Linked DNA regions of Arabidopsis thaliana. The protein of the gene in region 1 interacts with the protein of each later gene in a pairwise test. Each region holds a gene or a part of one and is shown on either strand. Other genes may lie near its edges.

Region 1 (5,739 bases):
CGGATATAATCGGGAAACTTGGAAGCATAGAGAAGAACGACATCACCACCTTTACTATGACCAAGAATGACAGGAACTAGACGGTTCATGATGTTAGAGGAGGACAAGTGTTGAATAACGTAATGCAGATCATCCTCTGCTTCACTGTTGAAGTTACCATAATAGAAAGTTCCTTCACTATCTCCGTTACCAGAGAAATCGAAACGAAAAGAGCTGATTTTTTCTTTCTCCAAAGCTGTAGCCACGTTTTTGAGAATCTTGTTGGTCTTGTCCGATCTAAAGCCATGGCATAAGACCACAACTTCTTTTGATCCAGTTTCGTGAAGCAGACCCACGAGCTTCTCGTTGCGGCGGTTCGGAATCACGATCTTCGTTGGCTTCATCGTCTTTTTGCTTCAGGTGGTAATCGTAGAGAAGAAAACAATGAGGCCCCCTATTGATGTAAAAAGAATAAGGTAATGGAAGTATGGAACTGGAACTCTCGCCAAAGATCAAATTGCATTTTTCTGTGGAGATACGAATGAGACTCGTAATCACTTTTTCTTTTTTTTGCTAAACTAAAACTCGTAATCACTTATTCTTCTCATGTCGATATTCAGTGGAAATTTGGACCTTACTCGTAAGTAGACTCCTCAACCATGGTGAAAACTCCACAGTTTTAAAGTCACATTTCTATTGTAAAAACAGTTTTTGTTTTTTGTTTGAATGAATTTTACACACAATTAGAAAATAAAAAGTGTTTGTTGATACAACAAAAAAAATAACACGTGAAGACTTATGAGCTAACAGGCTTCCCGTTTAGTTTAGGGAAAGGATCTTGCTTGCTTAGAACTACCACTTTGCTCTTGTGAGCTAAATAACCTTTCACAAGGTTTTTGTATATCAATATCGTCATTATACATTCCACCTGCAAATACAGTATTATTTTGACAACTGTGAGTTTATAGAAGATTTCAATTTTAGAAGAAGTCAAAAGCAATGAATGGGATGGTATTGTAGAACAAACCTCGTCCAGATCCATGTCCATATCTAGCCATCTTAGTGCTTTGGCAATCCCTTCAAGCTTCAGCTGGTGAGCTCTCGCTGGATCACTCAGCTTCTGGTTTATATAACTGAAACATTGATAATAATAAGAGTTATAAACTCAAGAATCTTGGATGGTATCATAGCTTGTCTTTGCTTACATTTTCTTCATGAGTCTCTGGTAGACTTGGAGCTCTAGCTTTTCCAAGACAAGATACACACCCGACCTCAAGAACCTGTATAAAAGAAGAGTATTAGATCGAGATATTAAGTTGTTCGGTGATAGAATCAAAATACTCATCATATAGAGACTTGCACAACTCTACTCTCGACCCAACTGCAAATCCTAACCCCTAGACAAATCCAGAACATCCCAACTCTTTCTGCCCCAATTTTCTTTTAACCTGTTAGCTCTCTACCTAAGAACCAGGTGTTACTGACCTGTCAGCAGAGCTATATAATCCACTACAAGCAGCCTATACTAATTCCAATACTCATGCTCTAGAGTATCCACAAGGACTCTATCATTTGGATTAGATGAGAAAAGCAAGATATCGAAAGAAATACATACCGATCTTCATGTTCTTGAAGAGCATGCCGGAGAAGCCTTAGATCACCCTTTCTCAGAGCTTGCACAATCTTTGTGTACTGGACACGTAGAGAAATAGGATTAAGAGAGATATGATATCACTCAGCAGATGCGAAATAAGTTTTGACATAGATTCGAAGAAAATTTTATAGAACAACAGAAAAGTCGTTACCTCATGCAGATTATAATTTCGCAGGAGCTCATCTTTTGGTATAATTCCTAAAGAAAGCTTCACCGGTACCAAATACTTTAATATCATCCTGATTCACATAAGGCCACATTAGCTGATTAAGCAACGCAATGCAAGAGTAAGGTAATCACAGAGTAAAACCAGAATCAGACCTTATATTTCGTTCTCTTTTGGGGTTGCAATTTTGCAAGGCATATGATAGCTTTGTATCAGCCTGCAAGATCCAAAAAAAGAGATTAAATGTTACTATCAATATTTGGATTGACACTACGAAATGAACTGTGATGGTAAGAAAAAATCTCTTAGTGACTCACAGCAGGAAAATTTTCGTTGAAGACTTCTAATCGGCCGGTATAATACATGTATGTAACCTGGTGTTTGCGAAGAATAAACAGAAGATAATAAGTAACCGAATAAGGAGGCCAAAAACTAAAACTGTTTGCAGAGAACTGCGCCAGACCTTATCTCTTCTTGGAAACTCCTCAAAGTCAAATATCCGAGCAGTTTCGATACTTCTTATTACACTTCGACAAAGATTGACGGTTCCAAGCTAAAATACAAAATTGGGGATACCTGTTTAGTACTCCATTTAATGGTTAAATCATAAATATCAAACTGTTGCCAGAAAGCATATCACCTTAAAGTAGGTCTTGAACAATTGGCAAGTCACATATAATGCTCCGACTCGTTTTGGACCTTTCCCCTATAGTTTAAAACTACATAAGGAGCCGGAAAAAATATTGAACACAAATATAAACTAATATTCCTGAAGATATATAGATAGATCAAAGGGAAAACTTACAGCAAGAACTCCAAAAACTTTCATGAGAAGAGACCCAGCTGCTTTTAATTTCTCTGGAGACTTTCCATTAGAAGTTAAATCTTTATCAGCCTGCAATTCCATGTGGAAAAATCATGCTTTCAGAACTGACTCCTCGACACAATGAAACCAGACAAGGTTAAGATTTTGAAAAAGGGATATACAAATGAGATACTACCTTTTCCGCAAGAACTCGAATTTCATAACAAACTACATACAGAGCTTCCAATGCCCAAGCAGATTCCCAATTACGAAACTCCTGAACAAATGCACTGCACATATAGAATCCATCAGATATCAGACATTGTGAACAGACAAAAAAAAAAGCTTATCACCCTGAAATCATATTAGACATCAATAGAGGAGCAGAGAGGAACAAGAAGACTTTACTTGGCAAACTTATCGAAAGCAAGGTATGCTTCGACTAGATTCCCAACTCGGTAACTTTGTAGAGAACGAAACACATGAGCCAGAATCTCGCCATATTCAGAGAATCTATCAGACTGTCTAATCAAACTGCTAGAATCCTGTATCAGTCAAAGAAAAGAAAACTCAAAGGATTCAGCACTTTCACAGCTCTCTACATATAAATAAAAACCCTAAATCTAAAATCCATACTCATAAACTCAAACATAGACATAGAGTGTTCACTACAACAACTCAATAGGAGACACTTTCACGGCCTAAATTCATACTCATTGGTGAAGCAGGAGGACCCAATTGGAAAATCATACTCATTAGTGAAGTAGGAGGATCCTAGATTGACATTGATTGAACCTAAAAGATACACACTTTGCTAACATAAAGATAATGTTCCTAGTGTTTTGAGCCCTAAATTCAGAAATTCATACTCATTGGTGAAGTAGGAGGACCCAATTAGAAAATCATACTCTTAAGGATCTTACATTGAATCGATTTAACCTAAAAGTTACAAACTTTGCTAACATAAAAACCATGCTCCTAGTGTTCACAATTCATACGAGAACCCAATCGGAACATATCAGAAGCATCCTGGATTTGAAATCGAACCTAACTTTACCAATTTACAAGGATCATGCCACTAATCACAGGAACATACTCCAAGCTGCTAATTTGAATCATGGGTCTCGATTTAACAGAGAATATATGTACCTGGAAGACGTTGAGTGCGTCGGCGAGTGAGAGAAGAGGTGGAGAATTGGAAGAGAAAGAGAGGAGACGGCAAAGTGTAGAAGAGTCTTGGTACGAAACGGCGTCGCAGAATCGGTTTAGGTATTCAGTGATTCTCCGGTGAGCTTCACCCATACTAACGTACGCCATTGTCACCTTCTTCGTCTGCGTCTTCCTTATTCTTTGAGAGAGACACGAAATCAAATAAGTCGCCAGGAAAAAAAAGGAAATAACGGAGTTGAGAAAAACGACGGCGTTTGGTAATTAACTAAATTGTTACTACGTACTAGTCTTTTCTGGTATTAGACTTATTGACATATGTTAGTTGGGCCATTTAAGGCCCATATGAAATACAATCATTAAAATGTTTGAAAATTTATTTGTAAAGGATTTGAAAATATCATTAGTGTTGGAAGGATTTTAAAGTTCCTGTAATCGGTGGTACTGATCATGAATTTTTTTTAGAGTTTTTAAGTTCATATAATCGTTTTATAGATCATGATTAATTTGCTTTAAGGTTTTTTAAGTTCATGTAATCGTCCGTAATGTTGACATCTGTATGTAAATATGTCTTCTTAGCCCGATGGTGACGTGAGGAACTTTCTTGAAGGGACATGAAATCAATTTATACCATGCATATAACTCAACAAGTTGCCAAAAACTCGAAGAAATGAATATAATCAACTTGTCAAAAGTAATTAACTGATCAAATAAATCACTTGTTTCCAAATGTGATTTATACTTTCACACTTCTATATATTCCCATTGATATTCCCCTTCTTTCATAGTTAGCAAAGGCCTCTACTACATGTACATGATAAATAAATAAATAAAAATCACGCTAATCATATAATTATCAATATATTTTATTCTTGAACACACAATTAATAGAAATTTTGAGTTGAGAGAAGTCAATCCAGGATTAGTATTTATGTGTAATGCTAAAAGTTGAAGATAACGAGAAACTTGAGAGGTTTTTAAGGTTCCTACTTTATTTTTGGTATGAAGGTTCCTACTAAAATATGCTCTTATATATCATTTTATTTAAAAAGCATTCCATTTGAAACTAATCTAAAAATCTTTAGATTCATTGTTCACCACTCATAGTAAGAGTTGCATGTGGACCATCTTATATTCTCTACTTTCTCATACTTCGTATTTGGAACCTTTATTCCAACAAATTCAATGTGTAAAGCCATCATTACGTTCATTTATTTTTGCCTTTTTGCGTACATAAAAGAAACATCATAACTTGACATGTAAAAAAAAAAATCATTGATTCGATTTGAGACTTTTGAAAACCTTGTCAATTTTATAAAATTTGGCCGATTTGATCTAATCCACATAATCCATCCCTTATAGACGAAATTAAATTTTCAAAGGGGATATTAAAAAAAAATATCAAAAAATGGAAAAATTTAATATCAACAATTTTTTTTTTAACAATACTCCATAAACATAATAATTGTATTAAATTTAATTTTTTAATACAATAAACATTTTTAACAAATTTAAAAATATAAACTTTTCTTATTCTCTATGTGTTATCCATCACATCAATTTCAACACTTTTTTTTTTTCCGTCAATTTCAACACTTTTAAGAATTAAAAAGTCTCATTTTCTTTTTATTCCTTTTTTTTTAAAATTCCTTTATTTTTCGGATAATTAAATGATTCTCTAAGCTTCATAGCAATGAAACACTTTGAATTCGCATTTCGGCGATATAGTCTCTAATAACAACCTCGCCGTGTGCTCTTGCCTCACCACCGCATCTTCTTTCTCCACCAGAACCGCTCCGACGATCCTCTCGTATCCTCCTCCACCACCATTAGCCACATAATCAACCAACGCCGCCTGTACTGGTCCCATACTAGGATTATACGCCGCCGATTCCATATACCAACCTCTGTACACTTTCCCGTCACAATCCACCAGCGAAACTCCCGATGGACATAAACTATACGGCG
Region 2 (3,755 bases), on another chromosome or scaffold:
GTCTTCAAAGACAGCTTCAAGCTTATAGGAAGTGGACAAAAACAAGAAGTGTTCATGAGTATAGAGAACTCGAATATCGCGCTTGCCATCTTCTCAAAGAGGTATTCTGAGTCATATCGGTGTTTGAACGAGCTTGTGAAGATGGAAGAGCTTGCCAAGGAAGGAAAACTCGTGGTCATTCCAGTCTTCTACAGTGTGAAAACAAACGAAGTGAGAAGACTTGAGGGAGAGTTTGGAATACATTTTAGAAACACAAAAGAGAGATTTGCTATGGAACCAATGATGGTTGAAAGTTGGGAAAAATCCTTGAAGTCATCTACTGTTACAGGGAGGATTGGCTTGAGCTTGGAAGCACACATGTAATAGAATATTTAATAGAACTCTTGTTTTGTAGTAAGATCGACTTTGTGGTAAGGTCGTCTAATCAGTTTCTTTCACTCATTTTGCAGGAACGAATTTGCTCTTGTCGGTGCCATTGTTAAAGAGGTTACAAGATTACTACCAAACTCTCCAAAGAAGAAGAAGAAGAAGAAAATTAGGTATTGGAGAAGTTTTCTTGAGGGCTTTGACTGCTACATTTATCTTTGCTGTCTTCATATACCCTATGCCTATGCCTGATGTGAACTTTTTGAAAATTGGTAAGTTGTTATTAGGCTTTCCGTTTTTGGTTGTTGTCTTGCACAAGATTTTATGTTAATATTAGAAACAAAATGATGTTTTCTCGCTTCTGGCTTGTGGACGCTAACACTATATGTAATGTTGTGACGCACATCAGCTATGTCTATTTGAATGTTATCTCTACGGTTATTTTGTGATGTACATAGTAAACCAATCCATGTCCACACCGCACTGTGTTGAGAGAAGATGGTGATTATCAGAATAGAATTACTATCAGCTCAAATTTATCATCTTCAAAGACGAGAAATTTGCATCCAAGGAAGAGTATAATGTGTAAAGGAAAAGGAGAACCGATACATGCTACGATAAACCAAAGGATGCAATTCAAACAAAAAAGCCAAGGTTCCCTAAATGAGAAGACCTGCCTTTCTCGCAATCTTGGACCTCATTTCTTCTCACTAGCATTCTCAAGCTCCTTCTTTAACTGACGCGAGAAGTCGTCACTGACATCATCATCATCCCAGTCATCTTCCCACTGCAGGCTAACTTCCTTCACTTCCTCTTTCTCCAACCAATCTGCCAAACATAACAATAAAAATATCCATCTTTATCAATTCTTTCAATAAAGCTATTTGTTAAATCTCAAGACTGAACTAACATTGCAAAGCAAAATCTGTTAAAATCAGAAACTGATCCTAGCTTAAGTTGAATTGTACAACTCTCCCCCAAGCTACTCAATGCCCCCAAATAATTCCTAAATCCACCATAACCTTTAGGCCCTTTAGCTCATGAAGCCTTGCCGATTAATAATGCAAACATAATCACCAGTAGTTTGCTCATAAAACTGCACTATTATCCATCAAGTTTATGAGACCGTAGCTTCATCATCATAAACATATATCAAACAGATCCGTTTTCGCATCAGAACTACCCAACTTCATACAATAGAGACTATCTTAGTTTGTATAAGACAGTGCAGAATCAAAATTTGTATTTATACCAAAACCTAATCAATCACCAAATCAGTTGCTAATGAAATTTGCTCTTATCTCCATTAATTTTATAACCGATGATGAATCAATTTCGAAAATCAAAGAAGCAATTAGTATAAAACAAAAAAATCACCTTCGTTGATTTCAAATTCCTCGAACTCATCGTCGTCCTCGAATAGATCCACCTTCACCACTTCGACAGCTGCCTTGGGTTCTGCCGCCATAGTTACAGATGTTTAAGCAAATCAACCAGATCGAGAAAAAAACCTAAGAAGAAGATCACCAAACTCGATTAATTCCTCCAAGTTAAACCCAACCAGAGCTCTTTAAACGAACCTTTTTTTCGTTTTGGGTCTAACTTGAAGAAGGGGAAAATTACCAATTTCCAATAACCGACCCGAATCTTATATGATTCATACCGAATCCGACCCGAATCTTATATGATTCATACCGAATCCGACCCAATATTAAAAATATCCGATTGAGGTTTAAAAGAAGCTGTTTTAGACCGGTCCAATAGTCGCATTCGTCTTGACCAAATCCATGACATACAAACCGGTCCAAAAGTTGTCACGCTTTCCCCACAGAACCCAGCTGAGTCAACTCGTTAGTCTGAGTTAACTCGCTAGGCGTGACAGAGCAGTGAAGACAAAGCAAAGTCCTTTTTCGGATTCCTTCTCTTTCACTATAAGATGACATCCCTCATTACCATTTTTCCTTAAAGCTCACTTTTTCTTCTTTAACCTTATCGCCACAAAACAGCGACATTCGACGCCAAATACATAACATCGTCGTCAACAGGTTTTGTCTCTTATCTTCTTCTCTGCATGAATCATGTTCTTGTTAGACATTTTCTGAGTTCTGGGTTTGATTTTGGCCCAATGATCCATAAATGTTGAAAATCATATTTGAAGGCTATGAATTATGAACATTTTATTTTAACCTTTTTCTAGCTCTAATGAGATAATTAAGTAAAACCCTACTCGAAATTTCTGAACTTTTTGATGCTTTGATTCGTTTCCTGTGATCCTTTACCTAGAGAAAATTGAGATTGATTATGTGACAAGTGACCATCTATAAGAAATCTCTCAAAGTTTTCAACTTTACTCACTCTATTGAGGTGAAAAAGAAAAATTGTGCATTCTGAAATTTTTATTCTTTTCGTTTGTCATGTGAATTTTCGTGTTTGATTTTTTATTAGTAGCAAAATGGCTAGGTCTGGGGTTGATGAGACATCAGAATCTGGAGCTTTTGTAAGAACAGCATCAACATTCCGCAACTTTGTTTCACAAGATCCTGATTCTCAGTTTCCAGCTGAATCAGGAAGATACCATCTTTACATATCTTATGCTTGTCCATGGGCTTGTAGATGTCTTTCTTACTTAAAGATCAAAGGACTTGATGAAGCAATCACCTTCTCGGTTAGTACAAATTCATTGCTCATATCGAATTAGAAGACTTTGTTAACCTGAAGCATTTCTGTTTTATTTGATTTGATTAGTCGGTTCATGCCATTTGGGGAAGAACCAAGGAAACTGATGATCATAGAGGATGGGTTTTCCCGGATTCGGATACCGAGCTCCCTGGAGCTGAGCCTGACTATCTTAATGGTGCCAAAAGTGTGAGAGAACTCTACGAGATTGCTAGCCCAAACTATGAAGGGAAGTACACTGTTCCTGTAAGTTTTGATCTCTTTGGTGAACTCTTTAATCTTTCTTTGTCCTGTTTCTTGAATGTTTGTTTTGTTATTATGTTAGGTTCTTTGGGATAAGAAGCTTAAGACTGTTGTTAACAATGAGAGTTCAGAGATAATCCGGATGTTCAACACTGAGTTCAATGGTATTGCGAAAACCCCGTCACTTGACCTTTATCCTTCTCATCTCAGAGACGTAATCAACGAGACTAACGGATGGGTTTTCAACGGAATAAACAACGGTGTTTATAAATGTGGGTTTGCAAGGAAACAAGAACCCTATAATGAGGTATATATCCCTCAATGTCTTAAACATTTGAACAGGGATTCAAAAATTGATCCCTTTTCTCTCCAGGCAGTGAACCAGTTATATGAAGCAGTAGATAGATGTGAGGAAGTACTCGGAAAACAACGATACATCTGCGGAAACACTTTCACTGAAGCAGATATCC
Region 3 (7,740 bases), 7.6 Mb from region 1:
CACAGGGGTATTTCGAGAAACATGTGGACGAACAACACGCGGAGAGGCTGAGGCGTGCAAGGAGGAAGAAATGGTGATTGCAGCCATTTTTGTCGGAGCTGAGAAAAGTTATCGGTGGAAAATGATGAGCTCTTTTATTTGACATAGGATTTTATCCATTGGGCCTGAATTGGACTGTTATTAAGGCCTTATGATACTTGGGTTTTAAATACCATAATTCGGAAAAGTGGGACCCGCTTTAGTTTCTTTTTTCTTACACATTCCATACTTCAGTCTGTTATGAAACAAAAGGAACATTTGTCTAGTTCACTTCATGATCAAGCCAAATCTACCAATGTGACCCAAAAACATGTGTTTAATCCGGTAAACAGATCTCAGTATGGTTTAAAACAGAACCAAAACAAACAAACAAAATTGGATTTCGAACATAATGCTATTTCTGATTAAAAATTGAATCTGAATCCAAGTTAAAACAGTATGTAATCCAAAAACTGAAATCCATTATATTAAAACCGGTTCTCAACTGGTCTCTTTGTATCTCATTATCTAAAAAGCTTTATAAAACAATAAGATTTTGGCACAGCCTAATCGCTTTCTCAGGGCACAGAGCCACTCATATTATTACCCTATCTACTAGGTTCCTGCTTTCGTATACTTCTCAAAATGCTCTCTTTGTTCCCCTGCAATCTGAAATTCAATCATTGACATCATAAGAAAATGTTGTAACAGAAGTGATAAGATCATTGAGTTGTTACATACATGTTGGATTCTTACGTCTTGCCATTTCTGATTGTGGTTTTTATGGAACAACTTCATCAGAGATAACAGCCTTGCCCAGATAAACCTGTTGCATCTCCTCTTTCCAGATCTGCATCAACTTCATATTTTTAATTTGTTTTCCTACAAAGAGAAATTAACTTGTGTGAAGAATAAATATATTTCATTCCATACCGTGTCACGGAACTCCACCCTTATGTGTGGCACGTTTGTTTTGTGAATGTCGTTTCCATCAGGTCCTCTTTTGTAGTAATCTTTTCCAATCCAGTGCGACTGGAACATCTCAACAAGTTAGTATTATTAGTAGATCGGAACAGAGACATCTTGTTCATTCATACTATGGGCCATGTTGATATAACAAGTACCTTCAGGGCGTGTGAGAAACCTGACTGGTACACTGAGTTACGAGCTATCTCGCACAGGTCACACGCACTCAGCTTCCAAACCTGAAAAATCCAGTTATCATCTTCAGTTAATACATAAATATAACTAAAACCTAGAAGAAAAGGATGTATAGAGAGAAATTTCATTGTTCTTCGTGTTTGCAATTGCAGAAGATCAGTATAAATCATTTAAAGGTAATAACTAATAAGACTTTTAAAAATATAATCAACTTTTCAAGGCCTATGATGTGTGGCAAGACTGCATAATGGAAAGATTATGACTTACTGATGCAGCTATGCTATACTCTTCCACGAGAGGTTCTTTAGTTAAGTGAATCTGAAGGGGGTCATCAGTAGACAGAGAAACATTGAGACCTCTTAAGAAAAACACAGGAAACGGGTTCCGGTGGTAATCTAGAAACAAAGAGTTGTTGCTCAGTGGTGACATGGCCAGACCAATCTGTCAAAAGAAATGTCTTCTTAGAACAGAAACAATAATACATATGTAATACATGCAGGCAGTCTCCACAAACCTGGGCGAGGTAGTACAGATACTGAAGCACAGGAGACTTTCGCAGATTGATTCCATGTGCGATGCTATGGCATGTTAGAAACGTAGCAGCCAAGTGGTCAATGTCACCAGCCTGAAATTTGTAGACATGTTAAAATTCCACTGAACTGTAACTGAAAACTGTTTATCTAGCACAAAGGAAGAAATAACACACCTCTCCAGAATGTGGTCGTAGCGTGATAGTAGTCATGCCCTTTGACTCTCGAAGCTGAAGAAAAATAGTTACTCCATATTACACAGTTTTGAGAACACCAAGTTAGTTACAGAAGCGACTAAGAGGAATGGTACCTTATTTAACACATAGAGGTTAGCATAACAATAGTAGACATAATACGAAAATGCAGGATTGAATGCGTTAGTCCATTGAGCTGGAGTGGGCATGTGTTTTGTGGGACGTCTTTCAGGTTTGCTTTCATCATCAACCAAATCAAATCCAACAACCTGAAATAGCAAACAAGAGACAGCAACCAGTCAAACCAACTCTTTATTGTGTAAAGACATGCGGATTAGAGGTTATTTGAAGATATGAATGCTAACCTGCTTCAAAAAAACATGGAGCTGAGGATGGGAATCAGGATCTACCGTGGCTTCAAACAGAGGAATGAATATATTGTCCAGGATATTCTGGAACGATGTCACAATACCCATGTCCTTGTAAATGTTGTACAAGCGTGGGAGCTAGTGAGCAGACAAACAGAAAACAAGGAAAATATAGCTCAGTTAGCAGTCATGTTACAAACACACGGAGACAAAAAAAACACATACACTCATGGAAGGACATGGAGCACACAAGTATCAAAGAGATGGCTAACCTGAATTAACCAGACAACATTCTCACTGTATAGATCATTGTTCACAATCCAACTAGCGAGTTGGTCCCACTCGCTCATTTTTCTGCCATATATAGATATTCTGTATTCAGCCATCTGCAGTGTTCAACGTAGACATCAGGAAAAACAAAACAGAGCAATTATGGATCTGCTTTGGCAAGAAGATTTCTTGACACAGAATTTGAGCAATGCCATGATGTTTTTTGGAACTCAAGTCAATGCGCATATGTGAGGGAGTGTGAGTTTGATATGGTTACTGAGACTAAAATCCAAGGATTTTACTACTATATCTTTTCCTAATATAACAAATGAGTTAAAGTTTAATGCAGCTATAAAGCATATGCAACAAGAAATAGCAAGCTTTGCATTTGTAAGGGGGAATAGGAGGAGATCCATTACCAAATCCTAAGTCTCTATGTATTCCCAGTAAATCATTATATCAAAAGCTTAGTTAGAATGGATTTGATTCTAACAGTGTTCCTCTCTTATAATGTTCGTTCTAAATGCATAAGACCACTGCAGTTGATCAAGAATAAAAATAACAAAGATGCATGTGGCGTTTACCTGATATTTACTAGCTTCAAGGTCAGAGAAGACTTGCTTTGTTATCTCACCAAGAAATCGACCTTAAACCAAACGAAAATAAATGTCAGGCAACTGAGAGTGCATAACTGATGCATCAAATGAACTAAAAACGGTAATAAGAGTGACTGGAGTATTCAATTACCTTGGATGAGATTATCCTGTTTAAGGAAAATCTCCCTAAGCCTACTTTGACCACAAGGGTTATACTTTAGGTTGAACTTATCAAAACGATGAAAGGTACTTTTGTCTGCATGAACATCCAAAAGGTCGACGTTCAGGTCATATCTGTGCAATGTTCAAACAAAGGGAAAAAGGTTAATTTCTTCGGTGTCATGGTAAAAATGGTAAAAAATGCAATACAGGCAATCTGCGGTGCGCAACAACTAGGAGGCTCCTAAGAGGGTAATCTAATAGTCTTGCAGCCATCAGATTCAGATAGAGTTAAGTTGGGAATTCTAAGAAGTTGGAAATGTAATTACCCAGTCAGATCCAGGCTCTCAAAAACTTCTCTCAAGGTCAAATATGTTCCATCTCGGAATATTACAACCTGTATAAAGGAGCAAGAAATTATCATATCTGCATATCAGCAAATTGTATACTATCCTAAAACATATAGTTTGCCATTGTTACCTCATCGGGTTCTTTCCGGAGCTTTGACTTAATAAACCTTAAAAGGTGTTTCTGGTTCATGCAAGCTGAATGATGCACATGAGTGTCGACTTTCCTAACGTTATAAAAATCACGATGTGGTGCACTTTTTTGAGCAAGAAATTCTTTATCCGCATTAAGCATCAAATGGAGATTAAATTTCTGAAACAAAAAATAGACATACTGTTAACAAGACGAAACTTGCTTATTGACATTCATTCTTCTCTAAATAAAACTCTTGCCTGTTCTAGGAGCACTAGTCGACGGTGGCACAAAGTCCGGATGTTTCCTGCAGCTATGACTTTGAGTACGTGATGCAAGTCAGTGAAAAACGCTGTGGCATCAGCTACCGGGAAGAGATCTTCTTTTGCTGGGAATTATGAAACAGAAGAAGGGTCAGTTATTCGAAAAGCAAAAGAATGCAACCAAATCAACTATTATGAGTAAAGGAAAAAGAAGCATTAGAATTTTAATACTAGGACTCTTACCATCTTTATTTGCAAACACGTGGACAACCCCATCTTGCATCTCAAAACAATGCTGTAAAAACAAAGATTGGGAAGTTTAATTCATCAATGCATGGTGTTTGATGACATATATAAGGAGTATAGACTCACATCAGATTTTCCCTGAGGATAGTGTGCAAATGGCTCTGTATTAGGCTTTGGAGTACTAGGATCAGATATGACTTCTTTTTCCCATGGTGCAACTGTTTCTTGGAAGACATACCTCTTCCGCAGTTCAAGACATTCTTGCAGACATTTATAGGCTTCAACTTCATCGGACGTTGGCACCTCTAAACAGATCATGAGTAAAATATGAATAAGATATGTGTTGACGTCTTAACCGTTTCAAGCTATAATTCTTAAACTATAATCTAAGAATTTCAATGGCTCAGCTCCCACACTGAGTAAAGCCTTAACTGACCCTTGCTTCTCTTACTCAAGACTACTTATTTAATTGTCCGTAACTCCACTTAATTACTTGCCACTAGCAAAAAACTTTTCAAGTAGTGGGACTTATAAAACAAACATGTCATGATTTGTAACAATAGGAAAAGAGTACTAAGCATACAGGAACCAGAAGTAAGGCAAGATGACAGAACGAAACAAAAAGTGACCATTCTTACCAAGAGGAACATTAAGACGGACAAAGGTCTCTTGCTCTGGCTCCTTACGAAGAATGTCAGCAGCAATAGGATCAGGCTGAACTCCATGTAAGTCACCAGACACACTATGGGATCGAATCATACTTGAAGCAGCCATAGATATTTGTTCTTCATTAGCATCTGCAGGCTGCAAAAAACATCTTACTTGTAAACCCACCTATTCAATCACAGAACAGGGATTGAAAAAGTAATGATAAATAAAGAAACTCACCATCTCATTGTCACCATTAGCTTGCAAGTAGGAAGCATCTAAACCCTCACTATTAGTCAAATTATCATCATCATCTGATTCTTCCACACTCTCAAAAGCACTAGCACTAGCAACAGGGGATTTCGGAGATATTGGTCTAACAAAGCTTCCAGTTTTCCTGATACTACTAGCTCCATGTACAGAAGCTCTCCCTGAAAAAAAGCAATCACAAACTATCTATCAGCATCATCAAAGGATTAAAGGATCAATTTTTATAATCCACAATCTAATCTGATCAATTCAGGTTTGGTTCTCATACCTTCAGATGGCGTATGAAGCCTAGGGAGACCAGGAGGAATTTCATCGACATAAACGTGACCGTTGCTCCGTCCTGTATCACCGCCGCCGCCGCCGCCACCATCGGTAAAAGGAGTGGCATCTGGAAGAGAAGCAGGACTGCGACCATATTGGTCATTAACCTTCCTTCTAACTTGGCTCCGCCGCCTCACCAAGGTCGGATTTTGAGGCTCGTCTCCATCAGGGTTCTCTTTACGCTCCTTACCACGCTCAAGGACTAGATTCAGTGCCTTGAAATGCATGAAAAACCCAGAAACAGCAACGAAGGAAGCTCCGAATAGAGCCGCGAGGGCAAGTTGGTAAATATTGGGTTCCATGAGTGACACAATCAAAATCTCTGTGTGTGTGCTCAGGTCAGAACTCAGAAGAGAGAGTAAGACCACGATTTCGTTTTAGTGGCGATGGTGGGAGGTCGAGGTTGAGTTGTTATTTATAGGCCCAACGAGTGAAACCACGCCACTTGCAAAAAGGCTGGGTCTTTGATAAAAGTTGAAACCTTTATGGCTAAAAACTAAAAGTGCTGATAATTATAGGGGCAGAGTTTTATAGACAAATAATTTCTTCATTAGTGTTCAATTATTTCAGACACCAATTTTTGTTTTTATCTGTCCAATTTTTTTATTTTATTTTATGTTTGCTTTTATACGTGAAAGTGAAAACTCTTCATATTTTTTAGTTTGTTCAAATAAAAAATCATTTTCATAAATATTGTACAAAATATAAAACGGAAGAAAGTTCTTCATTAAACATTAACACATCAAAATCCCTAAGAAATAAGGGAATTAAGGTTAACACTATCATTTTAAGAAAACTAGGTGTTGGGCCTTTGGCACTAAATATCAAGAGAACTATGGGTCTAATGTTAGCTCGAGTCCAGATTACATGGTCTCAGTCTCATGCTTTTCTTTTTTATTTGTGGCCCAAGGAAAAAGTGATTAAGGAAATTACTTATTAGCCAAATGACTTGAGGAAATTACTTTAACTGAATTTAAAATGGTTACAAGGTACATTTGTTCACGAACTCTATGTTTTCATTTCAACAAAATCACAAATGGTTGTTAACTCCAAATACACACCAAAAAATATGAAAAGTGAAGTTTTACCACCTATACAGAACACAAATAACTCATTCACATCTCTAATGTCATAAGGAAATCAATACACAAAAAATAAATAAGAAAAAGAAGAAGAAAAATCATAGAACAATGGTGACACCTCTAGCACCATGAACATAAGAAGGATGAGCAGCTTCTTGATCTCTCTCAAACTGTTGCACATGCCTTGTAGCATCAAACTTCTCTCCATCTCCCCAAAGAGCATAAGCTTCTTCCCCATGTGCTGCGTCGTCTCCAATCCCGAGCTCTTCCTCAGCCATTCTCAATGGTATGAACACCCTAATAGCGAGTAGAATGATAGTAGTCGACACCACATTCCAGACGGCAATGAAGGCAGCTCCAGCCAACTGTTTCAAAAGCTGTTTGCCGCCATTGCCACCGTAGAAAGCTCCTCTGGTCGCTGGGAGAGGAAGTACCAAAACGCAGAGATCAGGGTGTGCAAACAACCCTGTCATTATTCCACCAAGTAAACCAGCCACGGCGTGTGTGTAAAACACCGCTAATGTATCATCCACCTGTTTATTTCAACCCAATCAAAATATTACAGTTCAAATCATTCGTTTGTTATTACTAATACCTTAATTCTACAATTGAAACATTTTCGTTTTTCTAATAAGGTAAAACATTTTTTTTTTTTTTTTGTTGGTTATGAAATTAAAATGGGATTTATGATCTAAATTACCTTTTGAAGGAGAGCGGATTTCTTGTGAATGATCATCATAGAGGCCCATGGAGCTGTTCCTGAGACTACTCCAATTATTATAGCTGCCCATGTTTGGATCAAACCTGCAATAGATATCTTATTTGTCAGTATAATAAATTAACAATGCAATATTAATAAGTTTCCACATAATTCAACCTTAATCATAAATAAACTTAGAGACTTAGAGTAAACAAAAAACTTGAAAAGAAGATGACTGAAACCTGCTCCGGGAGTGACGCCGGCTAAGCCAGTAACCATGCCTTGAATTGCTCCGATGACAGAAGGTTTGCCAAAGAAGATGACATCAAGTGTAGTCCATACAAGGAGGCTTGTGGCGGCCGAGAGGTTGGTGTTTAACACGGCGATAGAGGAGGTTAAGTTGGCCGCGTAAGGAGCACCACCGTTAAAACCGG
Region 4 (4,472 bases), on another chromosome or scaffold:
TTCAGCTAGAAAGTCAAGCATCAAAACCTCTGATTGTATCACTCCTCTGCATTGGTTTGCTAGAATCGCATCTTCGGTTGTTGAGGACTCAAAGAGTGAAGTTGGATTATCAGTGCCCGGATTCAACTCTAGTAACAATGACTATCCCGAGGCAATGACACTGCAGCTAACAGAGATGAAGTCAGAGGAGCAAAGAACAAACACTCCAGTCTATAACTTTGCTACTCCTAAACACAAGAGGACCCTGCACAGTCGAGGAAAGCGTCAACAACACAACGAGTTTCTCCCGAGCCTAAGCACTTTTAACGGAAACAAAGCCTCTAAGGTTCTACAGAAGATAGAAAGGCCAAGTGAAGCTACTGAGACGAATGATGCTCACTCAAGCTATATGGTAATCGATTGGGGAACCGTAACAAAACGAAGAAGAGGCATCAGAAGTCCTGCCTGCTAATACCAAAGCTTACATACCTTTTTTGCTTTCAGATTCTTGAAGAATCAAAGTCTAGTTACAGTAATCACACCACATAGGAGATATATACTAAAACAGTGAAACTTTTGGGTTTTTGCTTTTTACAAGTTCATCAAAAAGAAGATGAATTTGTAAGCTAGATGGTACTTCAAAAAAGAAGTTTACATACAAATATACTACAGAAAGTTTAGACCTTTAGCGTTTTTATTCATTTAGACAAAAGATAAATCTTGTTTTTATCAAACAGAAGGAATTGAAAGTTGGGTAAAGTAAGGGTCTTGAAGAGTTTCTTGAAGAAGATCATCATCGTCCCAAGAGTCACGATAAGTCTCTAGATTTTCGATGGAATTCAATATAGCCGATAAACACAAGACCTTTCTCCATTCCTCCAGATGTGGAAATCCGATGTAATCCGCGTATTTATCGCTATACTGCAAATATCCAAAAACAAAAAAACAGAGCTTTATCAGATGAAAAAGATCGAAACTTTTTGAGTAAACAAAAAAAGGGAGAAACTTTGTACTACATTGAAATCGGCGATGTCGTGAGTGTTACGTTTAGGGATTCCGTCAGCTTCTCTGGCGAGATAGAAATCAGAGATTGATTGCATCATTTGATCAGAGGAAGGAAGTGAAGTTTTGCCTGACAAAAGCTTTGCAATCCATTTAGCTTGTGATTCAAAGAATGGGAACCCTATCAACTGCAATTAACCGGTTTTTAATCCTCGATTTAACTAACGAAAGATTGATTTATATAAATCATAATGATTAGTAAGTAAGTACTAATCATTGTACCTTTCGAGGGATTCCGACAAAGGAGAGAAAAGGGGATAGAGAAGGAGAGAAAGTATGTTCGAAGAGTGGTCCAACTCTATTATCATCAATCTCTACTCTTCCTTTGCTCTCAAGAAATGGAAATTTGTACTCATACCTACACGTATTTGTGCCCACATTTTTAGTTTTTTTTTTTTGTTAGTAAACATAAAATTTCTCAAATCTAAAAATGTCAAGAAATGTTTATATATTCATGTATAGAATCCACAATTCTGACATTTTTTCTGTAACTATTCATATGTCGGCCCCAAGAAATAAGGAGATGAAAGTGATCTTGTCGTGGAAAGAAATATTAACTTACCCGGTACAGTATAAAATAGTGTCGGCTACAATGCAAGACCCATCTTCGAAAATGACCCGTCCATCTTCTTCCAGAGATTCAATCTACAACCATTTGAAAAATAAAACAAAAGATTTTAAATGATTTGAATAAGATGTATATATGTGATGTGATGGTAAGACCGTACCTGAGGATGAAGATGGAGATTTTGATGTTTTTCAATGACTTTGGACAAGCCAGGAGGAATATCAAGTGATTTGGTACTTAGATGAACTTCCTTTGCCACTTCCACAAGCTCTATTGATATGTCTTGTCCACTCATTGAGCATCCAACGACCACCACTACCTACCATCATCATCATCATGCATGCATGCTTCATATAAACATCATGAAATCATCAAGTTTATTCACTAATTACTACAATTAATAACCTCATCACAAAAAGGCTCAGGCACTCTATATATATGGCTATGAAGTTGCTTCCTCTTCCACAAATCCATACCTGTATTTAAAACACCAAAACCATTTTGATTATGAACTTAAACATAATTACACACGGACTCCAAATTATAGCTTTACATATAATTTAGACAAAAACAATACCTTTAATTGTAGGCAATCTAGGATAAGAGTAATGGCCAGAGGCAACAACAACAGCATCAAACACTTCTTCCATAACCTCACCACTTTTCTTTACACTCTTCACCATCCATTTCTTCACATCATCATCATCATCATCATCTTCATTCACCATTCCCACAAACTCAACCCTAACATTAAACCTAATCATCTCTCTTAACCCAAACACTTGACAAAAATCCTTAAGATACAACAAAAGCTCCTCATGCCCTGGGAATCTCCTCGAGTCTCTTCCTTCCTTCGCGATGAAGGGGAAATCAGAGAAACCCATTACCTCTCTGGGTGAAGCTAACCTCAAGGATGAGTAAACACTGCTATGTACTTTTAGGGTTTTGGTTTTTCCCAATGTATCTTCTTCATCTACGTTTGGTTGGTATAACCACTGACCTCCTACGTCGTGGTTTTGCTCCATCACCACCACTTTATGTCCTTCTTTCTTTAGCTCTCGCGCCGACACTAACCCTGATGGTCCTGCTCCTATCACACATACCGTCTTTGATTGACTCTTAATTGGCTCTGTAATCACTAACACCATTTTGGACGGAGAGTAACTGATTTTGATTTGCTTCTCGTGGTGTCATATATGGGTCATGGGGCATGCTTATATAGTGGTTTTTTTTTTTTGGTTGTTGTTGTTGGTCAACAATTGTTTTTTTGCTTTTTTTGGTTATTACTGCATTGAGAACTAAGGTTAAAAGAATATAGCTACATAAACTTAGCTAGCTAGTGACATTTTTGAAACGTGGAAATTATAAATGAATGAATCAATCAATAATAAATCAAAGAGACGACGAGACGTGGTAGACAAAAAACACGAGTCAAGTACAATCAAAATGATGAAATTAAAGGTCATTGATTGTTTTTTACATTTGTCTTTGTCGACAGACAACATGTGATATATTGATTGTTCATAAATATCTTTTTTCAAGCTAAATACTGTACTTGTTTAGTTTATATTTTTAGGAAATTTAATTAATTAATTTTGATTTTTTACATCATTTGCTAATCATTATTGGTTAATTATATATTATGAGATGATTCATTTTTTCTTACAATTGTTGATTTGTATATACATAATTACTCTATGATCACATTTTGGAAAACTTTGTTTTTGTTTTATGTGTTATATGCATGGTTAAGATAAAAAGTAATTATATATGTGTCGTTTGATAAATTATAATTTTTAAAGAAAACAGACTATTTCACCCATTTTGCTAATTTCTCCCTTTTTAAGTAAACCATGGGACTTGTTTGACCAGCATGAACCGATATCATTCTCAGCCACAATTCAAATCGGAGCTAATCCTTATCCAAAATTTAATATTCTATAATTTCTCTCCGTGAATATCGAAGTTCAATAGTATGATTATCGATTAGTATCTAAATAGTAAATTCTTTTCATGGAAACAATATATTTGAATTCATTAATATATCCGATTAAATATGTTGAATGCCTCTAGTACATTGTATATTCATTAATTTTGATTTCCTCCAACAACAAAAAAAACTAAAAATATCATTTATTTTGATGAATGGGACCTGGTTTGATCAATCATAATCTCTGACTGACCAACTCACTTCGATACAACAATTTCAGATTTTTTTTTGTAGGTCCAATTCTGTTAAAAAATAATAGATATACAGTGGATTTATATCGTTCTATTTGAAATAAAATAACCTGTCCACTTCAAATCGAGGCTGGGGTATATATATATATATATATATTTTAATTTATTTAATTCTCATCGTGTACAGTATATGCAAATTCAATATTTCCATGCACAGTATTTTAATTCCTTAGTTGAACTCGTGACACATTAATGTATCAATTAAATTTGTTTAATTTTAATAAATAGAACCCGTTTGATCAATCATAATCTAACCTAACGTAAATACGTAGTACGTTGAAAAAATAACTGTAGGTCCAATTTAATTAGTTGTGTGTATGTTTTTTTTTTTTAACAGAATATAGTTTTTTCAACCTAATATTAACACGAAAACTTTAAATTTTTACCAACTAGACTTCATCTTTTTGTTCTCTACAGAGTAGTTTTTTTTTTTTTTTTTTGGTTGTCCTCCAAGAGGGATGCCTAGATATTATTTTAAGGTTTTATAATTGACCCCGTTAAAAAGCTCTTTCCAGTAAGCTACCAAATGAGCTTTTTTCATCAAAGCATGTCTTACTAAACGTTTACATTCATATATAATTATTCTTTGCACCAAAATTATAGAGGAGACAAAAAAGTTTCC

Evidence for each region.
Region 2: the proteins of EER5 (region 1) and DSS1(V) interact in a two-hybrid assay, tested with the Arabidopsis thaliana proteins (one study listed by BioGRID).
Region 3: the proteins of EER5 (region 1) and FAC1 interact in a two-hybrid assay, tested with the Arabidopsis thaliana proteins (one study listed by BioGRID).
Region 4: the proteins of EER5 (region 1) and AT5G61290 interact in a two-hybrid assay, tested with the Arabidopsis thaliana proteins (one study listed by BioGRID).

Annotation. Positions count from the first base shown.
Region 1 is NC_003071.7:8,465,149-8,470,887, forward strand, and holds EER5 (proteasome family protein), read right to left. Parts: upstream 3,998-5,739; 5' UTR 3,922-3,997; coding exon 3,754-3,921; intron 3,150-3,753; coding exon 3,013-3,149; intron 2,924-3,012; exon of another isoform or gene 2,903-2,923; coding exon of another isoform or gene 2,895-2,902; coding exon 2,801-2,894; intron 2,695-2,800; coding exon 2,605-2,694; intron 2,506-2,604; coding exon 2,440-2,505; intron 2,353-2,439; coding exon 2,263-2,352; intron 2,174-2,262; coding exon 2,117-2,173; intron 2,017-2,116; coding exon 1,955-2,016; intron 1,873-1,954; coding exon 1,785-1,872; intron 1,672-1,784; coding exon 1,595-1,671; intron 1,260-1,594; coding exon 1,185-1,259; intron 1,113-1,184; coding exon 1,007-1,112; intron 908-1,006; coding exon 776-907; 3' UTR 542-775; downstream 1-541. Other genes in the region: AT2G19550 (alpha/beta-Hydrolases superfamily protein), read right to left, coding at 1-383; CDA1 (cytidine deaminase 1), read right to left, coding at 5,450-5,739. UniProt on the Arabidopsis thaliana protein: Involved in the regulation of ethylene response. Probable TREX-2 component required for nuclear RNA export.
Region 2 is NC_003076.8:18,166,388-18,170,142, forward strand, and holds DSS1(V) (DSS1 homolog on chromosome V), read right to left. Parts: upstream 1,997-3,755; 5' UTR 1,835-1,996; coding exon 1,744-1,834; intron 1,195-1,743; coding exon 1,064-1,194; 3' UTR 619-1,063; downstream 1-618. Other genes in the region: AT5G45000 (Disease resistance protein (TIR-NBS-LRR class) family), read left to right, coding at 1-359, 450-618; AT5G45020 (Glutathione S-transferase family protein), read left to right, coding at 2,819-3,031, 3,112-3,288, 3,368-3,592, 3,659-3,755. UniProt on the Arabidopsis thaliana protein: Subunit of the 26S proteasome which plays a role in ubiquitin-dependent proteolysis. Also associates with the TREX-2 complex that is required for transcription-coupled mRNA export.
Region 3 is NC_003071.7:16,032,968-16,040,707, forward strand, and holds FAC1 (AMP deaminase, putative / myoadenylate deaminase), read right to left. Parts: upstream 6,006-7,740; 5' UTR 5,827-6,005; coding exon 5,472-5,826; intron 5,365-5,471; coding exon 5,174-5,364; intron 5,090-5,173; coding exon 4,924-5,089; intron 4,591-4,923; coding exon 4,412-4,590; intron 4,335-4,411; coding exon 4,283-4,334; intron 4,165-4,282; coding exon 4,037-4,164; intron 3,957-4,036; coding exon 3,777-3,956; intron 3,694-3,776; coding exon 3,626-3,693; intron 3,432-3,625; coding exon 3,289-3,431; intron 3,188-3,288; coding exon 3,126-3,187; intron 2,658-3,125; coding exon 2,544-2,657; intron 2,410-2,543; coding exon 2,269-2,409; intron 2,173-2,268; coding exon 2,020-2,172; intron 1,940-2,019; coding exon 1,886-1,939; intron 1,805-1,885; coding exon 1,694-1,804; intron 1,621-1,693; coding exon 1,447-1,620; intron 1,224-1,446; coding exon 1,143-1,223; intron 1,051-1,142; coding exon 952-1,050; intron 869-951; coding exon 800-868; 3' UTR 760-799; and 3 more. Other genes in the region: CXIP2 (CAX-interacting protein 2), read right to left, coding at 1-87; AMT2 (ammonium transporter 2), read right to left, coding at 6,705-7,139, 7,307-7,410, 7,549-7,740. UniProt on the Arabidopsis thaliana protein: AMP deaminase plays a critical role in energy metabolism. Essential for the transition from zygote to embryo.
Region 4 is NC_003076.8:24,646,884-24,651,355, reverse strand, and holds AT5G61290 (Flavin-binding monooxygenase family protein), read right to left. Parts: upstream 2,829-4,472; 5' UTR 2,758-2,828; coding exon 2,187-2,757; intron 2,086-2,186; coding exon 2,015-2,085; intron 1,929-2,014; coding exon 1,770-1,928; intron 1,687-1,769; coding exon 1,604-1,686; intron 1,400-1,603; coding exon 1,264-1,399; intron 1,170-1,263; coding exon 996-1,169; intron 901-995; coding exon 709-900; 3' UTR 541-708; downstream 1-540. Other genes in the region: AT5G61300 (uncharacterized protein), read left to right, coding at 1-451. UniProt on the Arabidopsis thaliana protein: Catalyzes the conversion of methylthioalkyl glucosinolates of any chain length into methylsulfinylalkyl glucosinolates.